Struthio camelus: one gene and its partner. The protein of the gene in region 1 purifies or fractionates together with the protein of each later gene. This does not show direct contact. Links are inferred from orthologs where the notes say so. Each region holds a gene or a part of one and is shown on either strand. Other genes may lie near its edges.

Region 1 (10,699 bases):
ACGATCGGCATTGACCCATGGGCCAGGGACACAAGGCCTGAATGCAGGGAAGTTGCTGGAGACACACTGAGGACAGGACCAGTAGGTTGATCAGCCCCTCCACAGGTGCCCAGACATGGGGGCGGGAGGCCCTGGAGAGGCCAGAGCTCAAACCTACTCCATCCCCTGCAGCCTCCAGCATTTCCCCACCTCTGCAGCATGTGGCCAGGGTGAGGACACAAGTGAGGAGCAGGATTCACCTCTTTGCTCTGAGCATCAATATGGGCTGCTCCACAGCACCAGGATGGGTGCAGCCCAAACTGGGCGGGGGAGGGGTGATACTAGCAGCTGAGTAACCTTTCCTTTGGATCCCTGCTCAGTGCAGTCACCTGCAGCTCTGCCCCTTCCTTTGCACCCTGGATGCAGTACTGGGTTGGGTGACAGGGCGCAAGTACACACGGCCCGCAAGGGAGAGAGAGGAGACCCTGGGCATCTCCAGGGAGCTCTGCAACCAACCTATCCACAGCATCTTCAGGGGACCAAAGGAGGCAAGTGTCAGGGGTCTGGACATCATGGAGCACCTCCCACTGCAGTGAGCATGGGAGGAACGTGCCAACCAGGGTGACCCCCACTCCAGAGCTGATGCCTGAGAGATCTTTATTCGAAGTGTAAAAACCATTCTTTACAAAGCATTTTGATCTAGCGCCTCTCCCCAAATCACGAATAGACCATGAGCTCCCACCCCACCATCCTGCATGTGAGGATGCAGCCTGGGCCCTGGTTTCACATAACACTTCTGACTGTATAAAAACCATCAAGCTGTATGAAAAGAAAAGCAAACATCTGAAGATCTCAGTGAAACTGTCCTCCACCCCGGCTGTACATCCAGCCCTGGGAGAAAGTGCCAGGACTGGGCATTTCAGAGCCAGAAGGACAAGGGTGCACAGAGCAGAGGTCCAGAACAGCAGAAAGGCACAGGGCAAGGACTCCCTCAGCCAGGCCTGACTCCCAGAACAGAGAGGAGGGAGAGGGGAGATACCACCAGCACCAACTCAGTTTTGGGATCAGCCTCCTAGGGCCATGGGAGAGGGGCCTCCCCAGTACTGGCAGCAGCTCCTGCCCCTCACCCCCAAAAAAAGTTACAGCAAAAAGCAGCAAAAGTTGAGGTCCTGGCAAGAGGTGTCCGAGGTAAAAGTCATCCCAGGGAGAGTTCCAGCAAGTACCTGGGGAAGGAAGAATCAGACTGAGACCAGCAGCCTCCTGCAGTGGTTCCCTCTCCGCACCACCACTGCACAGTAGGACAGCTTCCACCCATGGCATTTCCCATGGCAGCATCACTGGGAAACTTCTTACAGGGCTGCCCAGCCCCTCACCTTGCTAGGAGGCCAGTTATTGCTTCCCTCTCTGCTTCTTGGCTGGCATGACAGGAGTAATCTCCTCCTCAGACATGTCGTCGTCCTCCTCAAAGGAGGCATCCTCCCTGTGCGCTGGGACACACAGATAACTGTTACCCACTTCTGCAAATATAGTTTGCCCCCAAGACACTCGAAGAGAAGAGCAGCCCAAAGAGCTCATGGGCAATAGACCATGCCCCACCTGGAGGAACATCTCAGATGGGAACGGTGACAGAAAGGTGTGGGAAAAGCAGACAGCGTGGGTCAGTGTGGGAAAAGCAGACAGTTTCCTGGTCAGGGCTCAACACCAGGGAGACGATCCCTGGGGAACCAGCACAAAGGGGTAGGAAGAGGCACTGAGTACACGTGCTGAGCAGCACCAAGGTACATCGCCCCCAGGGAGAGGGGGCATCCCCACAGGTGTTAGTGCTGGGGAAAGCCCCTTCATACCCCTCACTCCTCCCGAGCCTCTCCCCACACACAGGTCCTTACTGATCTGGTGCCAGCCAGCGAGGTGCACGGGGCCAGAGCCTGCCACCAGGCGGAAGGTCACTGGAGGCTGCAGCTGGAAGTTGTCCAGACTTAGCTGCAAAGAGACAGAGGGAAGGAGCTGTTAGTGGCAGAAGCAATAAGCAGAATGTCCTGCACTGCCCAGTAGGGCACACAGCCCTGTTAAACATGGCCTTAGCTTGGGCAGAAAGTGGGGTGGCAAGGGTGCTGGTGCCCTACAATAACCACAGGAGAAGTGAGGGGAGCAAGGGCACAGTTTGGTCTCTGAATTGTCCACCTAGAGATCAGGGAGAGAAGATAGAGAATGATGCCCCCCAGCCCAGACCATACCCCTCTGCACCTCCTTTTCCCAGCCTCCACCATATCTTATCACTACCGTTATCTACCAGAAACAATTATCTCTGTATCCCATGCAAACATTTGGTAGGATGAATCTTCTGTACAAGCCACAGAGCTGCATTGCTACCCTCATCAAAGGCAAACGGGCATCACAGAGACGGCAGGTCACCAGGCTTCAGTCCCACGAGGCTGCCCCACAAGATGCAGGGGCTGGGAGACCTGGAGCCAGGACCAACTCCACAGAGCCCAGCAGCAGCATGTGCAAACACCGGGAGGCTCGGGGGGCACCTGCAGCCGGGCCACGGCTTCTTAGGGCATTTCCCAGTGAATTACAGATCAGCTCATGGTCCTAGGAAAAAGGTTTACAAATATCCAGAGATGTCCAGTCCCCTGCAGTCATCCCTGCCTGGGTGCTCAGGATATCCTCTTACCAAGGGCTGGCATGACAACCTCAGATTCGCCACAGGTACAGCGATCTCCTGGTTCTCGTGATTTCGCCCAACAACCTCCACCACGTTGCACTCGTCCTTGGCACCATCTGTGAGGCAGACCTGGGAGGGAGCAGAGATTGTGAATTACTGCTCTCCCAGGGGACTAAGCAGGGACGGTTGGGGCTCTCCTTGGGATAAATGACCCACAGCAATGCTACCAGCCTAGCACCTTTGTAAGGACTGTGTGCAGACACTGCTACTTAAAACGGCAAGTCATGGGACATGAACCTTTGTTGCACAAAGGCATAGACTGGCTGCTGGCAAATTCCTGGGAGAGCACAAAATTCCTCCCTGCAGCAATTGCCCCTTTACCGCCAGCTGAGGAGCTCTGTGCCTGGGATAGTTGTTCCTGCAGCTGCCTCGAGAGGCGGCACCTGGGCTGCGTTTTCTGTTGATCCATGCTGGCAGTTCCTGCACTCCCAGGACAGACAGCGACCCCCAGGGAGAGCCAGGAAATACATTAACAAAGCCCTGAGTCTACCTGGGCTTTGAGAGCAGCAGGCTGGAGACCCAGCTCCACGGGTCTCCATGTTCTGCTAGGAGGGCCCAGCAAGGTCTAACACCTTCCTTCACGCTGTGTCCAGAGGATTCCCCCTCTGAGCAGCCAGGCTCACGCACCTTCATACAAGGCTTATAAGCACCAGTCCTGCACCCTGCCCTCGGGGCAGCCAGTGCAGAGACCTCAGTACAGGAACTGCCTGGTCCAGGCCTCCAGCCGAGGGGGAGTGAGCCCAGCAAGGAGGGGTGAGGTTGTGGGCTGCCAGGGAAGAGGACAAACACAGCTAATTCTCATCTCTCTTACCACAGACAGAGCCAAAACGTGCTCGGAGTCATCCTCCTCATCCACCTTAAACGTGTAGGATTTGGTACTGCCAGTCAGCTCACAGCCTGGAAACAGAAGATTAGAAAAGCTGAAGTAACAGCTTCACAGCCCAGACGCAAGGTTCCCAGGGCGAGTCCCAGCCCAGGGCCAACAGGCACGTGGCATCCCTGAAACACGCTTGTTTTTAATGCTCAGGAGCAGCCTCGGCCTCAGGGTAAAGTGCCATGGAGTACCATATACCCAGCACAGCACCCTACGGGGGCAAACCCTGACTCCCCAAAACTGAGCTGCTACAAGAACAAGGACAACACAAAGTTACATCTTCTGCTCTTATGATCAGGATTCTGCTGGCCACAGCCAGGAGAGAGAGGCAAAACGCCCTGGGTGTGTTTGCTCATTGCAGGATGAATCACCAATGTGAAGCAGACAGGAAAGACGCAGACCTGAGCCCTGTGTACCAGACACGGCATTTGCAGCGGAAAGAGAGGCATTAGCCGTGCTTATGCACTCTGCTCGGCCGGGCAAGGAATGAAAAGCCAGGCGCGGAGCAGCCCGCGGGGATCGCTCGGCTTCCCTTGCGCAGCGCACGTGGGCCGGGCCGGCTGAGACGATGCGCGTTGAAAACAGCCACGGAAACACGCGCGCACACCCGCCTGCCTGCGCACACGTTTGCGAGTGAAGCAGGGCCACGTGTCGCAGGGGTTTAAGAGCCGCCGCAGGAACCACTCCCCAGGAGGAGGAGGAGAGAGAGAGGCTGGCGCTGCCTGCCGCGGACACCCGCGGAGCGCTGACGCGGCAGCGGAGCGGCTGAACCGCGGCAGCCGGCAGCAGGGCCGGCCGTCTCCCCCCCGGCCCCGCGAGTCACCGCCGCGCCCCACGCGGTCCCTCCAGCGCCGCCGCCACGTGCCTCCCCCCCCGCGCCCGGCCATACACGTGTCCCTCCGCCCGGGCCGTGTGGGTCGCCCTCTCCCCCCCCAAGGGCGCTCTCCCGCTGTCCCGGCCCCCCAGGTGTCTCCCCTCAGCGTCCCAGACCCCTCAGCTCCATTATCCCCCCCCCGGGGCTCTCTAATGCCCCCCACGTGTGTCCCCAGTGCCCCTCACGTCTCTATTACCCCCTCCGGGCTCTCTAACGCTCCCCTCCCACGTGTCTCTCCCCAACTTCCTACATTTTCTCTTAATTGCCCCCACGTCTCTCTTTTGCCCCTCACCGTGTCCCTACTGCACCCCACGTGTCTCTCTCCTGCCCCCATAGCCCCCCACCTCCCCCGCGCGCCCCTTCCCCGCCTCCGTCCCGGCCCCCTGTCGCTCCCCCAGCTCCGTTTCCCACCGTGTCCCTCTCTCGCCCCGCCAGGCTCTGTCAGCCCCCCGCTGCCGCTCACCGAAGAGGACGCTGCCGGGCCCGTGCGGCTCCATGAGGCGGCGAGGGCAGGGAGGGAGGGAGGCAGTGAGCCGAGCCGAGCCGTGCCGAGCCGTCCCGCCCCGGGCCCGCCCCCGCGGCCGCTGCCGGCGCCCCGCCCCGCCCCGGGGCGCCCCCACCGCGAGCCCCCCCCCCCGGCTGCGGGCGCTGCCGCCGGCTCGGGATGCCGAAAGCAAAGGGCGCTACCTCCTTGCGCGGGTCCTTTCGAGAGGGTCTCGCTTGATTGAGTAGCCGTGCGGAGAGGGGGCGTATCTGGTGTAATGTCATATTTATCGTGTTTTATTTCCTCGCAATAAAACCGGAAGGGTTATTACCCCAGCGGGATCCTAATGACTTTTCCTGGTAACTGGCCTCTTCCATCAGAAGATTTTTCTGAGGGGGGAGGCAGGAGGGGGGACACTGGAAGGCAAGAGGACCTGAAATTGCTGAGGATGGTGAGCAGCCCAAAAGCCACCCTGGAGATGAAAGACACCACTGCATCCCTTAACTGCAGGTCTCCTTCCTGTCCTGGGCTTTCAGCCAAGCAAGAGCTTCTGCAGGCTCCGGCGCTCGCGCTCGGCAGGGCAAGGCCTCTCACGACCATGCCGCAGTCTATGCTGGGCCACGGTATGGAAACAACTGCGGTTCCTTCCTGCCGCCCGCGTGTCACCCTTCTCGTGGGCATCTCCAGCACACCGCCTTCGCTGACAGCAGGGCAGATACAGAGGGCAGGGGCATAGCCAGGATGGCAGAAGGCTCAGCAGATTAAGGGGGGTATCATTAGCTGAGCAGGGGATAACTGAGACAGCAGCGTGGGTGTGGGGGGAGGGACTGGCTCATCTCTATTCCCTTAAGCATTGAACAAGGATGGCTTGATCTCAGACCCAGGGGACGGAGGTACACGAGTCTTTCAAGTCCATGAAGAAGGGAAGGCAACATTCTGCTTCAAATCAGCAGGGAGCACAAAGCCAGAGTTGCCTCTCAAAGCAAAAGGGGAAGCAGCCGGGTCCTTGCTTCAGTGGGGAGCACACAGGGTTGCATTGAAACAGAGCCCTCTCAGGGGGTGAGCTCGCACCGCACGCCTGGCTGGAAGCCTGCTCTGCTCCCCTGGCAGAGGAGGACTCCTCCAGCCGGCCAGTTCTTCTCTTCCAACTGGAGCCGATTCAACAGCAACACGACTGAAGAGGTATGAAGAGCGCAACCTGGTCCCAGAAAAGGGCTAGAGTTCACTCGCTGATGGTTATACAAGAGGACCTAGGATGTCTGCAAACTCATTTGCTTCTGCAGTAGCTGCTCTCCGCAGCCATCTGGCCAGCTGCAACGCCTTAAGTACACGCGCTGTCTGCAGCCTCACATCCCAGAGCAAAGGAGGCAAGAGAGCCAATTTCAGCTTTACATTCCCTTAAAGAAAAAGTTCCCAGATCAACATCAGAGGCCACAAACCTGTCTCCCAGGCTGAGATGAGAATTGCAAGGGGTGCAGGTGGTATCTCTTTCCCTTAGAAGCTACCTAAGTCCTTCTACCATTAAGCTGCCAGCTACTATGCTGGCGAAACCTACCCACACCAAAGGATAGGAAAAACCCGATCCCCATTTGTAAGATGGGATGCAGCAACACCAAGGGAAAAGAGAGAGTTATGTCTATAAAAGTTTCTAAACTGCCGGCACAGAGAAGGCAAGTGGAAGCACTTCAGACTTGCAGACACAGAGCAGCTGGGTTTGTTCTTCTTGAACCTCTCCAAGAGCACTTTGTGGTACCGACCTCGCAGATTATGATGACTCTACAGCTAGCTAGCATAAACACTATGCTTCAAGCTGCCACTAAAATCCATTTGCATTTCTAAAGCATCGTTCTCCCAGTAGGAATCCTACAAACTGAAATATATATAAAAGAAACCTTCTTCCTCCCCACACCAAAAACAGTCAACAAGAGAAGGATGTAGCAACCACTTAAACCCCAGAGACCAAGATATTGTGGGAAAAATTGGAATGCATTGCAACACCCATCTGGGACAGCAAATCCCAAATCTCAGAATTTTGCAGCCTTTCAGGATCATCATTCAGGCACGATGTGAAACTAGGACCCCAGTACATTTTCTCCATAATGCAACCACGGTGCCAGAAGAATGGCTGATCCCTTACAGCAAAAGCCTTACCTGCTCTATATTGAAGGCCTACGGGAGAAGGCAATGAACACAGGAAGTCCGGTGTTTCCTGTCAGTGCACAATGAGGAAAACCACAAAGAATTAAATCCTCAAAGTTAAAGCACATCTTATGCCTTGAAACAGACAGTTCACTCTTCCTTCTGAGCGTGCCAGTTATTCTAATTGAGCAGATTAGTATGCTGTACTTTTAAAAAACGCGGTTATGACCATCCTCAGCAATACCCCAAGGCAAGGAGGTCTGTGTTTCACTGTTACCATCCCATACCAGTCAGGACTGACCCGCTCACAAAAAGGCTTTTCTTTGCAGCTCCCCTCCCTCCCAAGCTCCACTACCCGCATTTTCCCAGCAGTTCTGTGAGAACCTCACAGCTTGCATCACCTGAAGGAGTTCATGCTACAGCCTTGTTCCCTCTCATACCACTTGCCACAAAGTAGGGAACGTGGCACAGCTCTATTGCCTCACCTCTAATTTAAATGCTATTCCCCAGCCACTACTCTAACCCCTTCCCACAGTCATCCTCTTGTCTGCAAACATTGACTACAACCACTAACCCTCACCAGATGCATTCCTTTAACCACAGATGAAAACAGGTTCTGACCTAAGATCATATTTTTTATTTCCTTTTATTCTTGACTGTTTGCCACTATAAACTGCAACTCCACCACCACTCAGAAAACCCCAGAACATAACATGCTATTCTCCAGAAAGGGAATGATTTTATTTTATTTTTTTTTAAGCAGACAGCTCTAAAACTCAGACCAAGACCAGCTGCCTTACAGTTATTTTTGGCTTTAGAAATGTATTGTTCCTGGGACTGGAGATGCACAGAATTTATTAATTTCAGAAAGTATCGACATCATTACTCAAAGGTAACTGAAGCCCTTCTGCTAGAAAACTCACCTGGTGGGGACTATCCAAGTTCTTCAGGCCTGCATGCTAGATACACCTGAGCCCTTGAAAGGGAGCATTTGGTGCTGCTTGAAGTAAACAATCCTTGACATAGAAAAAGATCTACTCCATCTGGCCCCAAAATAATCAGTTGGCCACGAAGCTCCTTGCAAGGATTACACTTCCTACTTACCTGCCACCCCAATGTGCCTCAGAAAGACACCCATTTCCTTGAGGGAGCCACTAACTTCCCAGCATCTGGAGCACACGGTTTTGCCTTCTTCCAGCGTAGCTAAGCTCACGTGCCACCAGGATAGCCCAAGAGCTTGAATAGAGCTGTTTGTCTTTGGCAGCTGCCAGTTCCCCATCCGTGCTCACAGCCTGCCCTCCTTGTCCTGAAAGTCACAAAATACGCATAGGATTAATTTAAACTGTCCGTGCTAAGTCTATATAAAGAACTTGTTCTTGTCCACAAAGAACTCTCTAAGTCAACATAAGCGTTCACGTAGGATTAAACTAGCACAATAGACTAGCTGAAAAATTACACCCCCTCATACAGTTTACTTAATCAGACAAACCCTAAATATTCTGAAGAGACACACAGAGACCAAAAGCAGTGTCTCTAGTAGCTTTTTGTACAGCTATTTATTCCACAGCTAACAGTGGCAGTTTTTTTCCTACTTCCTCAGAGTAACTCAACTTGGCTACTGATGACAGACTGCAGTAAAGAGCTGATGGGTGAAATTAGCCTGGCAACACTTATTTGCAATGGAAAAGTCTCTTTCCCTTTGCGTTTAACTGAGCTTGGACAGTACACGCCGGGGCTCTGACAACTGCAGTTGTTTTAGAAGACCACTGTGCCACTGAAGTTATACAAGAGGACCTAGGATGTCCGCAAACTCATTTGCTTCTGCAGTAGCTGCTCTCCGCAGCCATCTGGAATGACACAGGCAACACAAAACATGAGCCTGAGCATCAACTGCTCTGGTTCACACCAGTGTCTTCACTTAAACCACTGATGAAGGGAGAGGACTGACCAGTAGAGGCTAGAGATCTGCTTTTTTTTAAATGAGCCAGGAAGCATGGCAAGATGGTTATAACAAACATCCAGAGGGCAGTGGTGTCTTAAATCAATGCAGCTTAGCAAAGCTTCACAGCTCTCATCCAAATCTGAAGGCTGGCATTTTCATTCGTTCCAAGACAGGTATTTTTGAACAATATTTGCAGCATCAGAGCAGTTTTGGTGAAAAGACTGGGGCAGAGAACGGGACAGACTACTGAATGTGGTAAGTGATTTCCTCACAGGCACAGGTAAGGCTAAGTAAGGGAGATTTCTTTGGCTCCATTTTCACTAAGGTCTCCTGGGCCTTTGTACCTAGAAACAGGGTTCAAGGAGAGGAAATTCCAGCGGAGAAGGGTCAAGTCAGAAATCGAGAAATCTCAACCCGTACAAGGCCACAGAATGCATAAAAGGATGCTGGGAGAGCTGGCCATCATCCCCACAAGGCCAGTCTCTAAAAGGTCACGAAGATCAGGGAGGTCCCCGATGACTGGAGAAGAGCAAAATGTATGCCTAACTACAAAAAGGGCAAAAATCCAAATGCCCCTGAGAAAGTCATGGAGCAAGTCCTCTGGGAAGCCATTTCTGGGTACATGAAGATGATGACTGGTAATAGGCAGCATAGATCTTCCAAGGGTAAATCTTGCTTGACCAACCTGATTGTCTTCTGCAATGAAGTGATTAAATCTATGGACAAGGGGGAGTGCAATGAATGTCCTTGCCCTCAGTAAGATTTTTGATATAGCATTCTTATATCCAAGCTGAGATCTTACAGTCTAGGTGGGTAGACTACCAGATGACTGGAAAAGCCAGCTAAATTGTCAGGCATAAGGTGTAGTGACTAATGGCTCCTGTTCTAACTGGAGCCTGGTTAGAAGTGGAGATCCTCATGGTCCATACCGGAACCTCTGCTGAAAACGAGCCAGCAGTGCACCCTGACAGTAATGAAAGCTAATAGCACCATCAGTCATATTAACAAGGACATACCCAATAGAGATCAAGATCAGTTATTTCCTTTCACTAGGCAGCTGTTAGACTGCATCTAGAATACTGTATCTGCTTTTGGACACCCCTGTCCTCCCCAGGTACATGAAAAATGTTGGTAAAATTGAGCAAGTCGGTCCAGAGAGAGTCATGCGAGGAGAAGCTGAGGGAAATGCACTTGTTTAGCCTGGGGAAGAGAAGGCTCAGGTACTGGAAGGCTACTGTTAGGTCTCCCCTAAGAAGGGGTAACAAAGGTGAAGCCAGGCTCTTTTTGAGATGCTCAGCAAAAGGATAAGATGGGCAAACTGAAATAGGCTCTGACTGGATATAAGGAAAAATGTTTTCCCCATGAAGACAATCAAGCAATAGAACAGGGACCTTCTGATTTTGGAGGTTTTTGAAGAGCTGACCAGACAGAGCCCAGAGCAACCCCTTTTGAATTCAGTGTTGATGCTGCTTTGAACAGGAGGCTGAACCAGATGATCACCCAGGGTCCCTTCCAATGAGCTGAAAGAGCTACAAGAGCATTTTAACATCTTTGATCTCTCGATGAAAAGCCATTTCCCTCCAGAAGAACATTGTAGTTACTGTACTGCACCACAGACCAGCTTGTGAGTTTTTGCACATCCCTGGAGACACAGATTTCTCACATATGCTCAATTCTAATAG
Region 2 (10,155 bases), on another chromosome or scaffold:
GTTCCCCGAAAGAGGTAGCGTTTTGAAACATCGGTACAAGAGATCTAGTATGCTGTGATTTTGCTATACGAGAACAAAGTGACACTGACTCTGCTTTAGAAGGTGTTGAAATGATGCTTAAATCCTGAAACAATGCGCAAAATGGAAGTAGTTAGCCTTTTAAAAACACAACACACCTGATCCTCTGTTGGAGGGAAGCAGAGCATTTGAGTTATTTGTGACAGCTTTCTTTATAAGGAGCAAGTGGAAGAGCAGTCTTGTTTACTGGAATACCAAAAGAGGCAGACCATTAAAATTTGTATTTCTGTCTACCACTGACTTGCTCTTGTGTTTTCACTTGTATTTCCCCTCTGTGAAATAAAGAATAAGATACCAATACGTGCTCAAACTCATAAAGAAAAGATTAATAGTGTTTTTCAATGCAACACTTCCGTGCTGACCTGACCGGTCAAAAAAGCCAAACTGAGGAAAACACAGCTAGTGCTTTAGCAGTAGGCATTCTAGGAGGGAGGGAGGGAGGGAGGGGACGACACATTTTCAATCACAAATGTCACATTTTGAGTCTAAGAGTCTTTTAAAGTTATAAAAAATGGTGTAAAATGGTGCCACAAACCTCTTGGGCTGGACCTCTGGATGGTCTAAGCAAGCTCTTCACATCGAACTCCAGGTGCTTCCCTGCAGCGAGAGAGAGAGCTGCCATTATGAAATGAGGACAGGCTCAAGTCTTCCCTGAAGCGTTTTGCTGTTGTCAGCAGCCTCATACCTGCATACTCAACACTTCTGGTCCAAACAGCAATGGAGGGGAAGGGGACTACACTCATCTCATGTGACCACTGACAGGGGATGAAGAGGATTTAGTGAGTTACAGATGGCTGTAAAGGAGACTTCCATCAGGGAAAGCCTCACACAAGCAGCTGGATGCCTGCGGACACTGGCCGTACCCCATGACTGCTTGGGGACAGCCCAAAACTAGCAGGCACAAGACACAAGCACATAAGAACTACAGACAGTTCTCTTAGCTTCCCTCACTCTCCTTGGGCCCGTCTTTAAAGAGGCAGGAAAACACTAATGACTATATACAGGATCTATTTACTGTACTCGTTACAGCAACACTGACATCATCTACAGCTTTGTAAAGACACAGGTACATGAGAGCATCCTCCTTGTCCAAGGACGGAAGAGGGGAGTTTGTACCGGGACCAAACTCTGTGGGTGGCAGTAGCACTTGGCTCTGTTGGACAGATGTTGGGGTCCGTGGCAGTTTCTGAGGTGCCAGAGACCAGTAGCACTGTGGCACAGTGCTTTACCTCTGCTGGCTCTGGTAACCAGAACTGGCTCTCCGATGTCTGTAGGGCACGGGATGCTCTTGTTTTCCACAACACTTGCGCAGGTCGCCAAATCTCTCTTTTTCCTGGCCTCTGATGCTGCCTCTGGCACTGCTGGGAAGAGCTTCTTCAGCCAGCTGGCACTTTTTGCGGCTGTAAGTGTTTTGGCCTTTTTTTTCTTCACCTCAGAAGAGAGAGAAACTCCAAGAAAGTCACTGATGTCAGAAGGGAAGGTAAATCCCTTGATATAAGGCATCTGTTGGGTCTTCGACACGAGATGCAGTGTTGTCGACAACACCTCGTATAAGGAAATGAGGCTCTGCAATACACACCTGTACTGAATCCTGAGGAGATAAGATCGAACAGTATGGAGGCATCTCTAGCAAAACCCTCATAGCTTGTGCTCACTAAATGACTACCTTCAGCTTGAGAGAAGGAGCTGATGGAACAGGTTCCAAGAAGCCCTTTCCCTGTTCCCCCTCAATACAAGCTTTTTCTTTTGCGCTCCATCACCACATTTTCCTTAATATTAGTCTGAGCTCCTCATGTCGACGTGCCCTCCATCTTTAAGGCAACGTTCAAGTTCAGAGCACAGGACTCGTTCAACTAATAAGCCGTGTTTGGGAGCCCCTCCACTTCCCTAGAGCTTCGTGGAGTGCCGCACCGGGCACTCAGCAGGTTCCCAGGTCACACCTAAATCATTCAACAGGAGGTCTTCCCAAAAAAGCAGTGCGTACCAACTCAGGACAACTGTGCTAGCACTGATGCCCACGTGGTCTCCTGCTCCATAATAACTGGAGAAGGACAGATTTCGTGTGCCAAACGCCGTTACTGAGTTCTTGTGCACAACGCTTATTTCTTCAGCTACAGACAGCAGTTACTTGCTCAGAGCTGCTCTGCAGGACTGAGACAGACTGGAACAATGACTTCCCTGGAAAACTCAGTAGTAATATATATAGAACAGCTTTATCTCAGCCTTTCCATTTCAGCACGAGGCAAGTCTTATTGCTCACTGCAAAGAGTACCAGGTGGTAGTGTTTGTGGCAGGCTGGCATTAGCGCTGGTTTTATTAGCGCTACGTAAAGTTTGCAATGAACTGAGTACAAAGCCTTCCAAAAGGGCAAGCAAGAAGTCTCCAGTTATACAACCCTTCAGGTGCTAGAATCAGGTCCAAAGGGATGGAAGGACTTCTAATTCCCCAGATCCTTCCCCCACCTCCCAACTGAATAAAGCTCACTCAGCAGCAAGGCCTAATTACAAGCCCTTCTACCTGACAGGCATGTCAAACAGACAGAGACTGTGTCAAACAAACAAGAGACACTTGAAAACACAAACCATAGCCGGCTCAACAACCCTGAAGCCACAGTGTTCAAAAGTATGAATTCTTCTGAGCAGAGATGTTTAACTGACAAGCTGAAGATTACACCAGTTAAGGTTAAAAAACAAACAGCATGTAATGAGACTTGTTGAACACGCCAACTCGAGGCAATTCACAAGGTAATATCCTGGATAATTTGGCCAAACTTTGGGTTGCTCGAGGCCAGAACAGCAGCCAGCCAACAGCCTGAGGTTCTTCCATAACAACTTAAAAAGATGCTGTTTGGCTGTCAAGGAAACTCCAGCAACATGAATTGCATGGTTGAGTCCATCAGCAATACACGGCCTACAGCAGATCTGGCCTCATGAGGTGCTTCTGGTGATCTGTAAGAATGCTTTTACGGGGAAAAAGGATACAGAAATGCTTTGCAGCAACAGTCCAGCAGACGCAGTAAGAGCTTGCAACCTCCCAAAACCTTCACAGCAACTGTTTCCATCATAGGCTGGCTGGGAACGAAGCACTCCCCGTGGGCGTGGGGTTTATTTTTCCTGTGTCGATACAAGGATGAGGAGATGGTTATGATCTGGCGTTTCTAGCCTTTTCTCCTTTAGCTCTGAAGACAGAGTTAACGGGTAGCGTAACACACAGGGTCACGATACTTACTTGGGAATGAGTCCGGCCAGGGTTTCAATGCAACCCACCAAGTTCATTTTCCATAGGCGCTTCAAGCACTGCTCTACCTAAAGAAAAAGAAAAATTCCTTTGGCTCACGTTTTGACAGATGAGAGCTCCTTGGCCCTAAGGACCACCTTTAAGCGAAGCCACCCCTTCTTCCCCTTGTCAGTTTAGTGGTACGGCCACTGGATGGAAACGCGACCCCCTCCCCACCCCGGGCAAAGCCAGCGCCGCCGGACCCGCCCCACAGCTGCCGGGCGGGCACACGGGGCCCCGGCGCTGCAGCCCCGAGGCGGGCGATCCGCCCCCCGCCGAGCGCGCCCCCCCGGGCCGCGGCCCCCTTACCTGCTGCAGGGCCAGGAAGGGCCGGTGCCGCCGCAGCCTCCGCTGGTGGACGTAGAGCACGGCGCGCAGCACGCGTCCCTCGGCGCCCAGGGCCGGCCCCGACAGCCGCTCGCCGGCCGCCTCGCACCGCCGCCGCAGCGCCGGCAGCCACCGCACTGCGGGGCGGCAGGCGTCGCCTCAGCGCCCGCCGCCGCCGCCAACGCCCGCCAACGCCCGCCCGCCAACGCCCCCTCCCCCCCCCCCCCCGCGCGCGCGCGCGCGCGACCTGCAGGGTGTTGGCCCGGCAGGGCCACCGTCGCGCTGCTCGCGGGCCACGGCACGTCCAGCCGGTTCCACGCTGCCTCGGGCGCCGCCATCTTCCCCAGCGTGCGGCGGAGCGGGACGGGGCGGGGCGGGGCGGGGCGGGCGGAACCACGCTGTGGCGCTGGGCGGGAGGACGGGCGGAACCACGCTGTGGCGCTGGGCGGGGGGACGGGCGGAACCACGTCGCCGCGGCCGAGGGGCGGGCGCAGCGAGGCCTCCCGCCGGCAGGGGTGGGGGGAGGGCGGAGGCCGGTGCCTGCCTCTGGCGGGCTGCGCGTCCAAGACGTCCGAAGACGAGAAGCCAGAACAGAGCCGAAACGACAGAGCGTTCTGGCCGCTCTGTGGACCGCACGGCTCCGGGGCCCGCCTCGGGAGCGCGGGCAGTTCGCCCTGCGGCCCCCTCAGGGCGGCGGCGGCGACCCCGCTCTTCAGGGCGGTTGTGCCTGTCACGGGCTGCCCGACTGCTCCCTCCCGCCACGCGCCCCCGGCTCCCCAAGCGCAGAAGGACTCGCACCAGGAGCCATTAGCAGCCGCGTTTTGACCAAGGAGGGGCCCCTTTCCCCCCGCAGCCTTGCCCGGGAGCTGCCCTCCCACCAAACGACCGTCCGGCCCGCGTGGAGCCGGCTGCGCTGCTGCTCCCCGCCTGGGCTGTCAGTGTTTGTTGTCTCGGGGCCTGAAGGCCGAGGCCAGGCAGGAGCCTGGAGAGCTCTGCAGGAGCCCTGCAGAGTTAGTTGCTGTTATGTCTTGGCGCTGGCAGCCCTGTTCCCCATCAAACTGCTTTATTTGTTACGGTTTTCCAAGGGGGTTCTTCTCCCCCGAATATAAGACATTATTTCCTGCTTGCCTGAAGTTGGCCTGACTCGTTGTTAACCTGCAAACAATAGTACTCCCCTTAATATATTTGTTAGAGTCAATGAATTTCAAAAGCCCCGCCTTGTCATCTTTTTAGATTCCGCTTTGTTACGTATTTTCCATCTTTCAGAGAGGCTTGTATAAACACCTGGTAAAGAATGGTGTCCCTTTAAAAAGGTAGAGCAAAATTGGCTTTAATGATCACACCTGAAGGGAAGAGAGTGAGTGAGAGAGCAAACATGCAGGCAGAACTGATAAAAGGCTGCAATGAGCCCTTGCTTGTGTTGGTAAGGGGGTGCTAAGCTCTCTGGGCTCAGAGCAAGGCCTAGGAGATGCTGGGTGAAGGTAGAAATGGAGCCTTTGCAGTGTGAGTGGAGGGTCCCAAAGGTGTCTCTCGCAGAGATTCTGAGGTGCTTTGAACATCCTGTAAGTGAGGAACAAGCCTGGGCTATTTGCTTTCAGTGCTGCTCTAAAATGGAGCAGTTGGCTCAGGGGCTGCACCCGTTGCTCCATGCTGTTGTCATAAAAGGTCCTGGGAGCGTCTTTATCCATGCTGATGGCACTGCTTCCTTCAAGGTGTATCAAAAGTCTGGTAAGAACATGGACAGCTGTAAATGCTAGGGGTTGTTCCCATAACTAGCTCTTCACTAGCTAAAATAGGGGGACATGCGGCTGTTCTCCTCCCTGTACCCTGTTTAAAAGGACTTTAGGTGAGTGGTAATGTGTATGTGCAGCTTACTAATTTTTCCAGTGCTCCTCCTGTGAATCGTGGTTCTAGGGAATAGCTGAGATGAGAGTCTATTACCACTTATGTTATTTGAAATAAATAATCTGAGGCTTTATAAGTCCTGTGCTGCTCATCTTCTAAGGTATGGTTCCTTTCCTGTAGTGACTTTCACAATAAATATATGATTGACAGAGACCCTTTTTGTGACCGTGTGAAGCTAGCAAGCAGCAACAAGCTGCTTCTCTTATGTGTTCCCACTGCTGCAAAGCTCAGTGTGAAGCTGACTCCTTGAGAGAAACTTCAGGGGCAAGAGTGGGTATTAAGGAATGAAGACAAGGAAGACCCATCCTCTTTCTTGAGGTTGGATATCTACTAGCAAATACAAAGAAGTATCCAGCAGCAGTTAGTTAGCAGTTTGTGCTAATGCTCCCAGTAAATAGAAAGTGCATCTTGTGCTGCTCTGCAGGAGTCCCCAAGTGCAGGTCTAGGTTCCCCAGCTGGGACTGATCTGAGTCAGAGGGATTTGTTTCCTCATTACCAAGAATTCTCCCAGATATTCTAAAAGCTGTTTATCAGTCCCTATGCAATTATCTTTTTAGCCCTCCTCTCCTCTTTCCCTTTTAGATGTTGGCAACGCTCAGGAGTTAGAGCACAAGGTAAGCCCATGTCTTCAGCTTCATACATGTGCCAATATAATCCTGCTTGTCTCCTGCTGTGGTAGAAAGCCATCTCAGGAGACAGTTTTCTAGGTGTTGAAAATTATCACAGTGCTTATATTTCTTGCGAAATATTTCTCGGGTGAGTAGAGGCCTGTGGAAGTGACTCTGTCCCCTGCAATGTGGAAAAGGAGATAAAACTCTGAAACCAAACTCAACTAAGACCATGGGACTGGGAAATGGTGTGCACAGAAGATACTGCTGACTATGGGTTAGCCCACCCGCTTTGTCTTAAAAACAGATCATCACTTAAAGGTGCTAGATAGGACCGTTTAACACCTAAAAACAGCTTTATTTGGGGAGTATTTCCAGCTAGCTGATGGGCACCTAGCTGCCTTTTGAGCTCCTCTCATCCTGAGAGAGGTGCTCAGTCACGAGGGGCACATGTGGCTGGTGGGCACATGTGAAGGGGCACATGTGGCTGGGAAGCGAGAGCTCTGATGTTCTCCACAGCACTGTGCTGCACTGCTCTGAGACTGCGTCCTTGGCCTGTGTCCGCAGCTGCTGGAGTACTTGGGAGTGGTGATCTATGAAGCTCTGGACTGGGGAATTGACAGTCAAGCAGAGCGAGAACTGAGCGAGCCCTTGGAGAAACTGCTCTCCCTCATGCTGAAACTGGACGATGAGGCGATGAAACTGGCACTCACCCTGCAGGATGTTATCAAGGTTTCCTTCCTCCCACTTAGTAAACGCAGCAGCTTTAGAAGAGTTGATGGAGCAATGCTGTTAATGAGCGGGCCCAACAATTTTCAGGGAAAAGCTGGGTAGTTTAGAAGACATATAGGGCAACATGTGGCTTTCCTATCAGATGGGAAAGGAAAATCACCTTAAGTGCACTGAAGTTTCTATGGCAAAAAGTTAAAGAAGACTGAGCATGGCTCTCATGCAGCTGTGTCTACAGAGTTCTTCTGTACATAGCCTTCTGTAGCTGTACTTTTGGGGTGTGGACAGAGCAACTCTCATTAAGCCCTAGTTTTGAAAACGACTTGTCATAGCCCCAGTCCTATACTGAGTCTTGTGTCTAGACTACAAGATCACCTACAGGACAAGATATATGTAACTGCTTATAGGCAGCATAACCACCAGAACACTTGTCTCATAGGTATGAAATCCTACCTTTGGAGGCTATAGGTAATTAAAAAAAGTTGCTTCTCCACAATATTCAGTTTCTGAAAGACCAGGGAGTTGAATGTCACAATTCAAACTAGTAGTTTGCTCTCACGTGTAATTTCAAAGTACCATAAACTCCCCATGCCCCAGTCTCACCAGCACGGAGAGTGAGGGTGGGGGAAAGACCAGGACAAGTGTCTCCCCTTGCTATGTTTTGTCATGCCTTGTCTAGTGGAAGCTTCCCCTTCCAGGTACTTATTTAAAAGCAGACCTTATGGAGAACAAGATGTATAAATTACACAGCAACTTACGTTACTGTACATACAGGATCGGGCATCTTTCCTTGTTCCTCTCCATCTGCAAAAGAACAAAAAAAGAGGCAAAAGGCACGAGGAAGATGATTTTTTTTTTTTTTTAACCACAGATTGATGAAATTGAATCTTGCTTTCTTCCAGCCTACAACATTTTTCATTTCAAGGAGATCGTGTGCTCTCAAATAGCTGTTCTCCTTTCAGATTTGTGAGGAGCACCTGTCCAGGCCTTCTGAGGCTGCCAGCCATTACAAGATGACCTGCAGGAGTCTTTTTGCTGAATATATGGAACTTCAGAAGCTTGTGTCCATCATCCAGATTTCCAAAGAGGTATTTTGATCAACACTTAGCTGCTATCCCTTCTGCCTCCACATGTTCACCTAGTTCTACAGAAATCTTCCCTTTGCACTAGAAATGTAATATGTAGCTGAAGGTCTATTTCCATTATGTGAAAGGTTTCTGTCTGCACCAGATTAATTTATTATAGCTTTTGAATGTTTGGAGGCGGATTTGGCTTCTCGACTTTTCAGGTTAGCATTGATAACTCGGACTGGGTAGATAGGAAAGTGCTGGACAAGCACAAGGTAATGACGACCTTGTGTGCTCACTTCTTAGAGTCTGAGAAAAATGGACATGGAAGACTTGCGGGAAAATCCCCTTCAGAAGAAGGAAAAATACTGGGTAAGGGATTTAATTCTTTCATTGTGGAGGGGTGTGGGGTTTTTTGTCTTCCCTGGCTCTCTGAGGCTTTCCAGTGACTCCTCTATGAAAAACAGAGCTTAAGCACACACAAACAAAACCACTTAGGTTGTTCAAGAGCTTAAGTAGTTAAAGACTTGTCTGTAAAACAAGCTGGGGAGTGAACTTGAAGTTAACTACCGTTAAATGTGTTTACCTCATGTGGACACTTATTCTGCACAAAGACACTCTTTGTGGTTCAACTGAAACCACTTCTAAAAGTGAAATTGGAGGCATTCTTTGTGGAGTAAGTGTCCACAAGTAGTTATTCATGCTGTTTCCTCCGCTAAAGGAGCCCCAAACTCTTGGCAGGAATTGATACCTGCTAAAAGCAGTCTGCTCCTTTGTGTAGTTTAACTGGCATCTCCTGGAAAACTGTTCTGTTGGTGGTAGCACTGAGGTGGACTAGTCCATGCCTATCATGTGGGCTCCAGGCTGGTTCAGGGCTGGAGGAGGCTAAAGACGAATAGATCTTTGGCTGTGCAGCTCCAGCAGTCCGAACAAAGGGGTGAAGGACGGGGAGGCTCCCACCTTCTGCTTGCTGCCATTTCTTGTCCATCCCTTCTGTCCTCCTTGGACAGTTCTTGGACTGTGTGTTTGGGGCAGAGAAAGCGACTTCTTCTATTCTCTCTGTAGCCTTGCACAATCAGGGCTCCATCAGAAACAAATAGCTCTTCTGGCTGGAGCTCTGCCCAGCATAAACAAATGCACTGTAGTCTGGAGTCTGTGGAGACAAACGGCAAGCCCCGAGAGACTTGTGGACTTGCTCCCTTTGTCTAAATAGCACTCGCTTTGAAGCGTGCTCAAACTATTTGTATGAAAATGTTTGTGAAATGTGTGTTTGGGCATATTCTCAATTTTGTGATCTATTAAAATAAACTGGCAAGCTGTCTCAAACCACAAACTCATCAACTGCTCTAGCTCTTTTCTGCAGGGAATAAATGAATAAATACATGGGCTTTGCTGTGTGGCCCGAAGGCCAGTGTATTTGGCCTCTGCTTCTTTGGGAGACATGAATTCCAAAGGCAGGATGTCTGTTGCAAATCCTCTGCTAGTTTCCAAGTCCCTAAGCACCGGTTGATTGCATTGTTCTGACAAACTCTTGAGTTTAAAATAACCAGGATGCCAACTTCACTGGGATCCCACAGACTAGGGCTGATGCCTTGAGCAGTGCCAAGCAGCTAGTGCTGTCTGTGGACCACTTTTTCCTATTGACTGCTATGAAACAGGCCTTCTGAAGCACAGGCCACAGCCTGGTATTGGGCAGAGTTGTATCATCTCAGTAGAGTTTACCCATATGTGTTGCAAGGCAATCTTCACCTTGAAGTCGAAGCACTGAGCCCTCTTAGGAGCACAGCTGTCTTACCACCCATCTGTTGAACCGCATGCAATGAGCATGGAGCGTTGTACAGGAAGCAGATGATATTCCCTCTCTGTTCTTCTGTGCTTGAGTAGCATTTTGTGTGGTATCCCACAGGTGCGGGAAGTTTACACTGAGTTTGGTAGTACATGGGATGGCCCAAGTAGAGTAACTGCAGTGAGTCAGTCAGGAGAGAAAGAAAAGTGTGAGTGAAAATGACATCTCCTGTGCCTGAGAGATTGTTTAGGTGCACAGATGGCTCTGAAATGGCCAGCTGAAGGCCATTCTTGTCCTTAAAATAACGTAGCAGCATTACAGTACAGAAGTCTCTCTTCAGGTGGTATCTTTCAGAATAATTTTGTCATCATGTGAAATA

The links. Proteins that work in one complex are often made in the same cells at the same time.
Region 2: the proteins of NPM3 (region 1) and NEPRO purify together in Homo sapiens (affinity purification with mass spectrometry; 4 studies listed by BioGRID and IntAct, with this or other methods). This does not show direct contact. The link is inferred for Struthio camelus from reciprocal best matches to the Homo sapiens genes NPM3 and RMP64.

The regions. Positions count from the first base shown.
Region 1 is NC_090948.1:16,434,538-16,445,236, forward strand, and holds NPM3 (nucleoplasmin-3), read right to left. Parts: upstream 5,036-10,699; 5' UTR 4,950-5,035; coding exon 4,916-4,949; intron 3,602-4,915; coding exon 3,516-3,601; intron 2,774-3,515; coding exon 2,654-2,773; intron 1,960-2,653; coding exon 1,866-1,959; intron 1,467-1,865; coding exon 1,369-1,466; 3' UTR 1,353-1,368; intron 1,203-1,352; 3' UTR 620-1,202; downstream 1-619. UniProt on the Homo sapiens protein: Plays a role in the regulation of diverse cellular processes such as ribosome biogenesis, chromatin remodeling or protein chaperoning. Modulates the histone chaperone function and the RNA-binding activity of nucleolar phosphoprotein B23/NPM.
Region 2 is NC_090942.1:96,833,886-96,844,040, reverse strand, and holds the start of NEPRO (nucleolus and neural progenitor protein), read right to left. Parts: upstream 4,116-10,155; 5' UTR 4,020-4,115; coding exon 3,929-4,019; intron 3,819-3,928; coding exon 3,664-3,818; intron 3,384-3,663; coding exon 3,307-3,383; intron 3,192-3,306; coding exon 3,060-3,191; intron 2,739-3,059; coding exon 2,661-2,738; intron 1,670-2,660; coding exon 1,308-1,669; intron 676-1,307; coding exon 614-675; intron 319-613; exon of another isoform or gene 125-318; coding exon 1-124. Other genes in the region: protein spire homolog 1-like, read left to right, coding at 5,169-5,409, 6,169-6,200, 6,762-6,926, 7,886-8,011, 8,297-8,362. UniProt on the Homo sapiens protein: May play a role in cortex development as part of the Notch signaling pathway. Downstream of Notch may repress the expression of proneural genes and inhibit neuronal differentiation thereby maintaining neural progenitors.